2 linked regions of the Ovis aries genome follow. The protein of the gene in region 1 purifies or fractionates together with the protein of each later gene. This does not show direct contact. Links are inferred from orthologs where the notes say so. Each region holds a gene or a part of one and is shown on either strand. Other genes may lie near its edges.

Region 1 (4,059 bases):
TAAGAGGAGGTCTGGATCAATCCAGACCGGACAAGGGCAGGCCAAAGAGAGCAGGAAGCTGAGGGACCGGTGGGGCCGGGGGGGGGGGGGGGGGGGGGGGGGGGGCGGCGGGCGAGGAGGAGGTTGAGGGAGGAAACAGAGGCAGCTGGGGGTGGGAAAGGGAGGGGATCCCTGAGCTCAGCAATTCCCTTCCTGTCCTGGTTGAACACTCAAATTCCCTCAGCCTCCAGCCCCAGCGCCCCCCCACCACTGCCCCACAGAGGGGTGGTGGCCCTAGGGAGCCTGAGCCATTAGCCTCCTTGGCTATCACAGCTGTGGAGGGAGCTAAAGAAATGGGAAAAAGAAGGACATGGTCCCAGTGGATGCAGGGAGGGGCCAAGAGGAAAGGCAAAGCTGTTAAAGTAAGAGGAATAAAGTCCAAGCTGGGTGGCACATCAGGGAGCCACCGGGCAGGAGCTGGAGCAGAGGACAGTTTGGTGGAGGCTTGTTCTCCATGCATGGCGCCTACCATGCCAAGGAGCAGAGGCCCAAGCCAAATACTCTTCTGCCCCCCTCTTCCACAGGAAAGTAAGCTGTCAAGGGCAGAAGGGGTGAGGGGTGGCCAGGGCATTGACACTAAGGTCAGATCCCTAGACCTCCAGGTGAACACATACCCCTCCTTTTTAGTAGTGACCAGAGAGAGGGCAGGTATCCACCAAGGAGCATGATACCCCTCATATCAAGGAAAGAGTCTGACCACAGGAGATGGGGCAGTGCAACGGCTGTCCAAGAGAAGTGGCCAGGAAGGGACAGAGGCGCAGAAGTCAAATCTGTGCTCATGAGAAAGGGGTGCCAGAAGAGGACTGAGGCTGGACACAGGGAACAGTCCCAAACTCATTCCTCCCACCCACAGCATCCTGCCACAGCTCTGCTCCAGGAGGCCACAGGGGAAGTTGGAAAGCAACCAAATAGAAGTAGTAGTAAAAGATACATATACCCTCAGCAGGCTCACCTCGGAATTACCTATCTTTAAATTTACTTCAGAATATTAAAAAAATGCAAATTATTGTGATTACAGTGATTAACAATCCTGACAATGAAAACATGTTAGATACTGTGCTTACCACCGCCCCCGTAGTCCTGAACCCAGGAGAGCTTTACCACCCCATGCACCACTCCTGAGAAGAAAACCTATCACTGTTTCCTAAGGCCTCAGCACTCAGAAACAGAGAAAGAGGAAAGTATTCTGCCAAAGCCTCACCGCCCCCCACCCCCCACACACACACAAGCACACACCAGGATATCCTATCTTTAGAGGTGAGCATTCTGTGGGTGCCTGCAGAATCCAGAGACAAGGGATGACCTACAGGTGTGGGCATGTTTAGAAAAGAAAGAGGAAGTAGGGCTCTTTAAATTTACGGAGGAAGAAAGGAGATTGCTATTGGCAATCTGAAGGAAGAAAGGGGATTGCTACTGGGAATCTGAACGACTGGGTGTGGGGAAGAAGCTGCATGTGGCTTCTCAGCTCAGCAGGGAGGAGGAGGCAAGAGAGGCGGAAAGTAGCAGGAAATGGCGAAAGCCTCAGGAATGTTTCCAGCAGGGAAGGCTGGGCAAGCAGGACCAGGAGAAATGCCCAGACTAGAACTCTGTCTGGGGGAGGGGAAGAGCCAGAGAAGTGGTGGGGCCTGAAGAGTCCCTTAAAAAAAAAAAATCAAACATCAAAAAGGACACTGTTACCTACACCCATTCCAAGCCACCGTCTTCAGGTGGTAGAAAACTTTCTCTTCTGTCACACCCACATGTCACACATCGACAAATCCACGGCCCTACCCAGCTCCCGTCGTACAGGTATGAGACAAACAGCTGTTTCTGGGGTGGAGTCGGTCCTGGGAAGGGAAACTCAGGGAGTGGGGCAGGGAATCTGTGAGCAAGTCTCCCTCCCACTCTCGTGCCAAACCCCAAGTCCAGCCCCCTTCAAGTAGGTCCACCCTTGGAAGGGGCTAAGGGAGAGGGAAAGGGCTGCCTCTAATCTCTTACTCCACAGAGTCAGAGATGTGAACTTTTGACCCTATCCAGTGGAGCCTAAGAGCTCAGGAAAACTGAGCCAAGGGCCCCAAAGAGAAAAGGAACGAGGAAGCGCAAGCAGGTGAAGTTTCTGGGATTGAAGACAAAGCTCCTGAGGCGATGACAAGGGTCCAACCGGGATAACGCTCCTGAAGGGGCGTGGCCCCTCAAGACGCGTGCACCAGAGACTCCCAGGAGGCGAGGCTTCTGGACGATCCGACGTGGATTAAGGAAGGGGCGAGGCTTCTAAAGGGGCGGAACCCTTAGGGAGGCGTGGCCTCACGAATTCGAATAGTTCTTTGAGTAGCAGGGTTCTGCCCTTTTGGGAGTTAGGCTTTTGATAGACAGGGGTTAACGGAGAATAGTCTCGAGAAGGCGGGGTTTCGGGGAATCGGAAGGACTAATGCAGGGGTTTGGAAGCATGTCTGGGGGTGGGACTTCCAGGAAAGCTGGACGACAGGGTAGGATTGGGGACAGTAAATGGAATATAAGTCGGGGTTCGGAGAGCCCCCTGAAGTTGGGAGGTGGGACTTCCGGGGAGGGGGTCGCAGAGGGCGGGACTTGTAAATGAAGACCGGAAGTAGGGTCCCGGGAGAGGGGTTCCGGGGTAGAGGAGTGGGTCACCTAAGAAGAAAAATGTCCCAACTCACCAGGACTTCATGGAGTCTCCGCACCGCACCGCGGGCCGATTTGGTTCCGGATCACGCCACTGTCTCCTCAGGTTGCCGCTCCAACTTTCTCCCCGGGCCCGGCCTCCCTGGAGAAACTTTATTGCACTCACTTCCGGCCTCACTAACCCCTGACCCTGTACCTCATTGTCCCTCCTTCACCCGTCCCTCTTTCCCGAATCAACCAATGGCAGTGCGCGGACGAGCACAGTAGCAGTGATAGCCAATAAAACGTCTATTTTTTACTTACGGCAATTCTTGAGCAATGTTCATTCCAATGAGGACTTGAGTAGAAGCAAACCTAAGCCAATCGGAGGCTTGAAGGTGGGGTTGTCCCGCCTTCCGGCAGAGGGACCAATAGAAAGCGCAGGCGGCGTGTTTGAAAGCGAGGCCAAAGAGGGTGGGAGCGCGTGCTGCTGGGAGTTGTTCGGAGGTTGGCGGCGCGGGGCTGAAGGTCCTCAGGCAGAGTGATCATGTCGCACAAACAAATTTACTATTCGGACAAATACGACGACGAGGAGTTCGAGTACCGGTTAGTGCCGGCGCGGGGGCAATATCAAGGTCGTGAGTTCTGACAACTGAGGGCACGAGAAGTTGGTAACGGGGACTGAAAACTGCAGAGTTGGCGCATGCGCGGGAGGTTAACGGGAATGGGTGTGCTGAGAGTGTGAGGCGCATGCGCGAAAGGTAGGGGGGCAATCAAAAAAAACCCCTAGAGTGATAGCGAATTTGGAAGGAGGCATGGGTGGTCGTGGTTAGAGTGTTCGAATGTTAGAATACTGACCACCCTCAGCTTTGCGGGTTTCTGGACCATTCTCTCACCTCAGTTGAGTAAACTGAACTTGCCTTCCTGAGACTGCTTGTATTACAGCCACACCGTAGAGCCTTCTGGGAGAAGGTGGCAAAGGCGAAGCTTGAATTTTCTTCGAGTCTTCAAAGTGAGGAGAGTTCTAAGAGAGCCTGAGTGTTGCTTATTAATCCATGGGAAAGGGGCGTGGTTGTCTGATTTGTTTTAGGAAGGGGGGCTTCGAGGAACTGGAATCGAGTAAAACTGACCAGAACCACTGAGGAAAGACTTAATATGGCCCTAATAGATTACCGTCAAATGTTTGAAGGGCATCTACTTGGGAAACAATTATGGAGTGTTTATAGGTTTCAGGTGTTCTGCTAAAGTACACGGATAAGCCATGGTCCCTGCTTTCAACAGACCTAAAAAATATGTGGAAATACTGACAGGCTTCAGAAAGAAGATGATAATTGGTATAATAGAGCTATGTACATGTAGGTTGTGGTGGGAGCACATAGGATTTACCAAACATGATAAAGAAAGGACTCCATACAGAGTTTG
Region 2 (3,571 bases), on another chromosome or scaffold:
CCCACAGAAAAGAACTCCTTCCATTAGGTCTTTACTCCTCCCAAACCAAGTTAAAGTTCTATGCCAGTGGTTCTCAAGCTTGACTGGACAGTGAAATCAATCACCTGGAGAGCTTTAAAAAATATGATCCCTGTGTGCCATACCCACAGATTCTGACTTGTTGGTCTGTGTCTATTAAGAGCTCCCCAGGGGAGTTCAGTCACAGCCTGAATGGCAAAACCATGGTTCTTCTGGGCATTATCCCTGAGCAACAGCATATTCAAGGTCAGTGTCTGGATAAGCAGACTCTGAGTCCCGGTCCACAGCCACAGAGCCAGGGAATGTGGACGTTGGTAAGACTGAAACCACTGCTCCTCATGGGATAGTCTGTCCAAGACAGCTAGGTGCTGATCTGGCATTCACAGAATGACTCAAGCGGGTCTGTGGCCCACAGGAGAGGAGGCAGCCACGCTGTCCCAGTGTCCGGACCCTAAGCCAGCAGTTCTGCTGCAGGAAAGGGTCTTCAGTCAGGCTCCTCCAGCAAAGGGTGTCTCCCTCCCCCCACTCCCACCAGGGCATAGCCGCAGGGGCTTGGCCTGCAAGCAAATAGTGCCCTATGCAGAAAACGCAACTACCTGGAGGTCCATCTCAGCCAAGCTGATCAGCATCCGTGCTATAAACCTCTGCCAGAAGCCAACCGGAACGAAGCTCATCTTAAACACTCTCTGAATGGTGTTGGCTGTGGGGTGCCGCATGCCGTGGGTGTCCAGGCCGGGTTTGGACGGAAGCAGATGCGGCAGGAGGTAGCTGAAACACCAAAGAGGGCTGCTGAGCCAAGGCCTGAGCTCTGCTCTGGGGCTCTCACCCCTGCAGGCAGTCTGGCCTGGGGCGGGATCTGCCAAAGCAGCGCAGGTTGCCCGATGCCTTCCTCCCAGGGCCTTTGGAACCATTTTTAGAAAGAGGGGGTAGTTTATATGGTGAGCATAAATACTCCAAGAGAAAACGAAGATGGGCATAGCGAATCAGTTTGTCGAAGTCTCTAAGATAGAGACTAGAACACGGCGAGGGAAGACGTGAAAACATCTGTGGTCATAAACACAGACACAACAAATCACAGTCGGTTCTCTGTAAACCGGGTTGCGATTGGGGAGTTACTTAAAATTAACTTCGGATGGTGAAGGAAAAACAAATACAGCTGCACAGTTCCAAGGACAAGATATCGGGGGTCAGAGAAATGTCTTTGGCCTGAGAAGCTATTTATTGTTCTTGGCCAGTTGAGATAACACAATTACCTTGAAATTTCGAATGAGGCTCTTTGTGCAAAAGAATGATGTTTTATAAGAGCAGTCTTACTCATAAAAGGACTGAACTGCAGTGTCAGTGAGCTGTTCATGACTGTGATCACTTTTAATAAGCTGAAACGAGGGAGGTCCCTCCAATAATTCCCTGAAAACCAGCATCTTCTGTGTGTCCTGGAGGAGCTAAGATGGCCTTGGGCAGAGCCTTGGGTGTGTCCTTAAAGGCTTGCTTTCAGTTCTCTTAATCCTTTAAAATTCCATTAGTGTAGGTCCTATAAAATGTTTTTAGGACTTTCTGAAAGAAACCCCTGAAAACACTATGGAAGGAAAATTCAAAGACAGCCTGGGGGTGGAGTCCCCAGGGTGTCTTCAGCACACGGCCTAATCTCATTGCCATTCTGCTTCCTTAATGGCAGAAGAGTGGGGATGCCAGCCTTGCAGGGTTAGAGAAGAACGGACAGTGGCTGTGTAGGTGAGGTCCAAGGGGACAGATGGTGGCGTTTCGGTCCTTTTCAGCCATTATAGGTCTTGGCCCAAAGGACCTTGCCAATGAGCCCAGCTGGAGTGCCTCTCTCCACAGCCAGGAATTCTCTGGCACATGCCTTTTAGTTCTGAGAAGTCCTTTATCTCTCTGACCTCAAACAGGAGGCCCTTGTCAGTGCCCAGTGAGATCTAGCCTGCTTCTTCTGCCTATGCCATGCTCAGCTTGGGCACATGGGACCCCCTCCGTGGCTGTGCCCTGGGACTTCCCAATTTTTTCCATCTGGCCAGCGTGCCCGAGGGAGGGGGCACACTCTGTACCCAGGTGCCCCAGCACGTGGCACACACAGCAGGTGTTCAATATTTTTGAAGGTACGGATGACTTAAAAGCCAGAATGGCAAGTGAAGAGGTTTAAACTGATGGGCAAAGGAAGCCCCTCTCAATGTGAGCAGAGCCCTGGGCGAAACCACCAGCACTGGCTTTAGAGCGACCACTAACAGGGCAGGGCTGCCAAAGGTGTGGGCTTGGGGAACTAAGAGGGGAGTTCTTCACGTGCCTGCTGACTAGAAAGCCATGAAGACCTGGGCACTGCACGGGGTTTGCACTACGGCGGAGCCAGTCCATGATACGTCCCTGAGGCTGTCTTAGCAGTTGGGCCAGAGCCTTCCCCGAGTGCTGAGAGCCAGTGCATCCCCGCCTGGAAGAAGTACAAACACTCGAAAGTGTAGAGAGAGGTTTAGAAAGGCCCTGAAGGTTTTCCCAGGGACTGCAGGTTGAAAGGAGCAGCAAATGCCTTTGTTTTTGTTGATCATATAAAAGCTTATGGTGCAAAGAGCTGAAACTCCTTGTCTCTGGGGTACAAGGGACCCATTATATCTACACTTAGAGGTAGGTATAGTGCTCAGACACTCCTGACTTTAGATGGAACTAGACACCACTGACTATGAGTACTTAACGCAAAGATAGTAACAATAACAGCATTGATGATCCTGGATGTCCCTGAAGCTCAAAGGTGCAGGAGATACGTTTCATAGTTCACACGTACCCTCTGATTTAATCCTCACATTGACTATAATACTAGTAAGTGATAGTATTATTTCTATTTTACATATGAGGAAAAAAAGAGGCAGTTGCTTTTACAGAGTGAGAGTATTTCCGCATTCCTCTAACCTGCTGATAGAATAATCAGAAAACTGTCAAATTCCGGCAATGCTGTAAACTCACAGGCTGCTTTACCAGGGGCCAAAGTCAAGGACACACCTGGGCCAGGATGGGAGGGGTCATGTGGATTCTGAATTCCCCTTTGGGGTTTCTCTTTTTAGGACTCACTCTTGGTCCCCATGGGGCTGAAGCAGGAAGGACTGAGGCCCCTCCCACAGTCATTAGGCCAAGTGGATATATGGGTGGGAGCTCAGGAAGCGATGGCCCAGAGTTGGCTCCCAAGAGACCCAGACTGTGCTGATGGAATTGTTTGGCTGGCCATAGAGTGGCCAGGCCAGCCCCCGGAGGGTCCCGAGGGTGTTCCCCCAGAGCTCTGGGGTTGAGGGGCCGGGTGGTGCTGTGTTCTATGACAGGCATCAAAAGGGTCTGGGGATTTGGCATCCTGGCCACTGCCTCATGGCCAACATCAGCATCAGACCCAGGAAACAGCTGAGACTGAAGTAGAGAAAGGAGGCCCTGAGAACCAAGCCAGAGTGCCGTTAGACTGAACCCACATGCCCCTCGAGTCCCTGCCCTCCCTGCATTTTGAAACTGGGCTGGATAGTTAGCATGCACACTTTTGTACCTACTCCATTTTTACTCATCAAATAAC

Evidence for each region. The genes of interacting proteins can lie anywhere in the genome.
Region 2: the proteins of SHC1 (region 1) and LRRK1 purify together in Homo sapiens (affinity purification with mass spectrometry; 3 studies listed by BioGRID and IntAct, with this or other methods). This does not show direct contact. The link is inferred for Ovis aries from reciprocal best matches to the Homo sapiens genes SHC1 and LRRK1.

What each region holds. Positions count from the first base shown.
Region 1 is NC_056054.1:105,194,939-105,198,997, forward strand, and holds the start of SHC1 (SHC-transforming protein 1), read right to left. Parts: upstream 2,826-4,059; 5' UTR 2,694-2,825; exon of another isoform or gene 1,727-2,693; coding exon of another isoform or gene 1,721-1,726; exon of another isoform or gene 1,717-1,720; intron 1,676-1,716; 5' UTR 1-1,675. Other genes in the region: CKS1B (cyclin-dependent kinases regulatory subunit 1), read left to right, coding at 3,185-3,243. UniProt on the Homo sapiens protein: Signaling adapter that couples activated growth factor receptors to signaling pathways. Participates in a signaling cascade initiated by activated KIT and KITLG/SCF.
Region 2 is NC_056071.1:4,897,942-4,901,512, forward strand, and holds part of LRRK1 (leucine-rich repeat serine/threonine-protein kinase 1), read right to left. Parts: intron 787-3,571; coding exon 615-786; intron 1-614.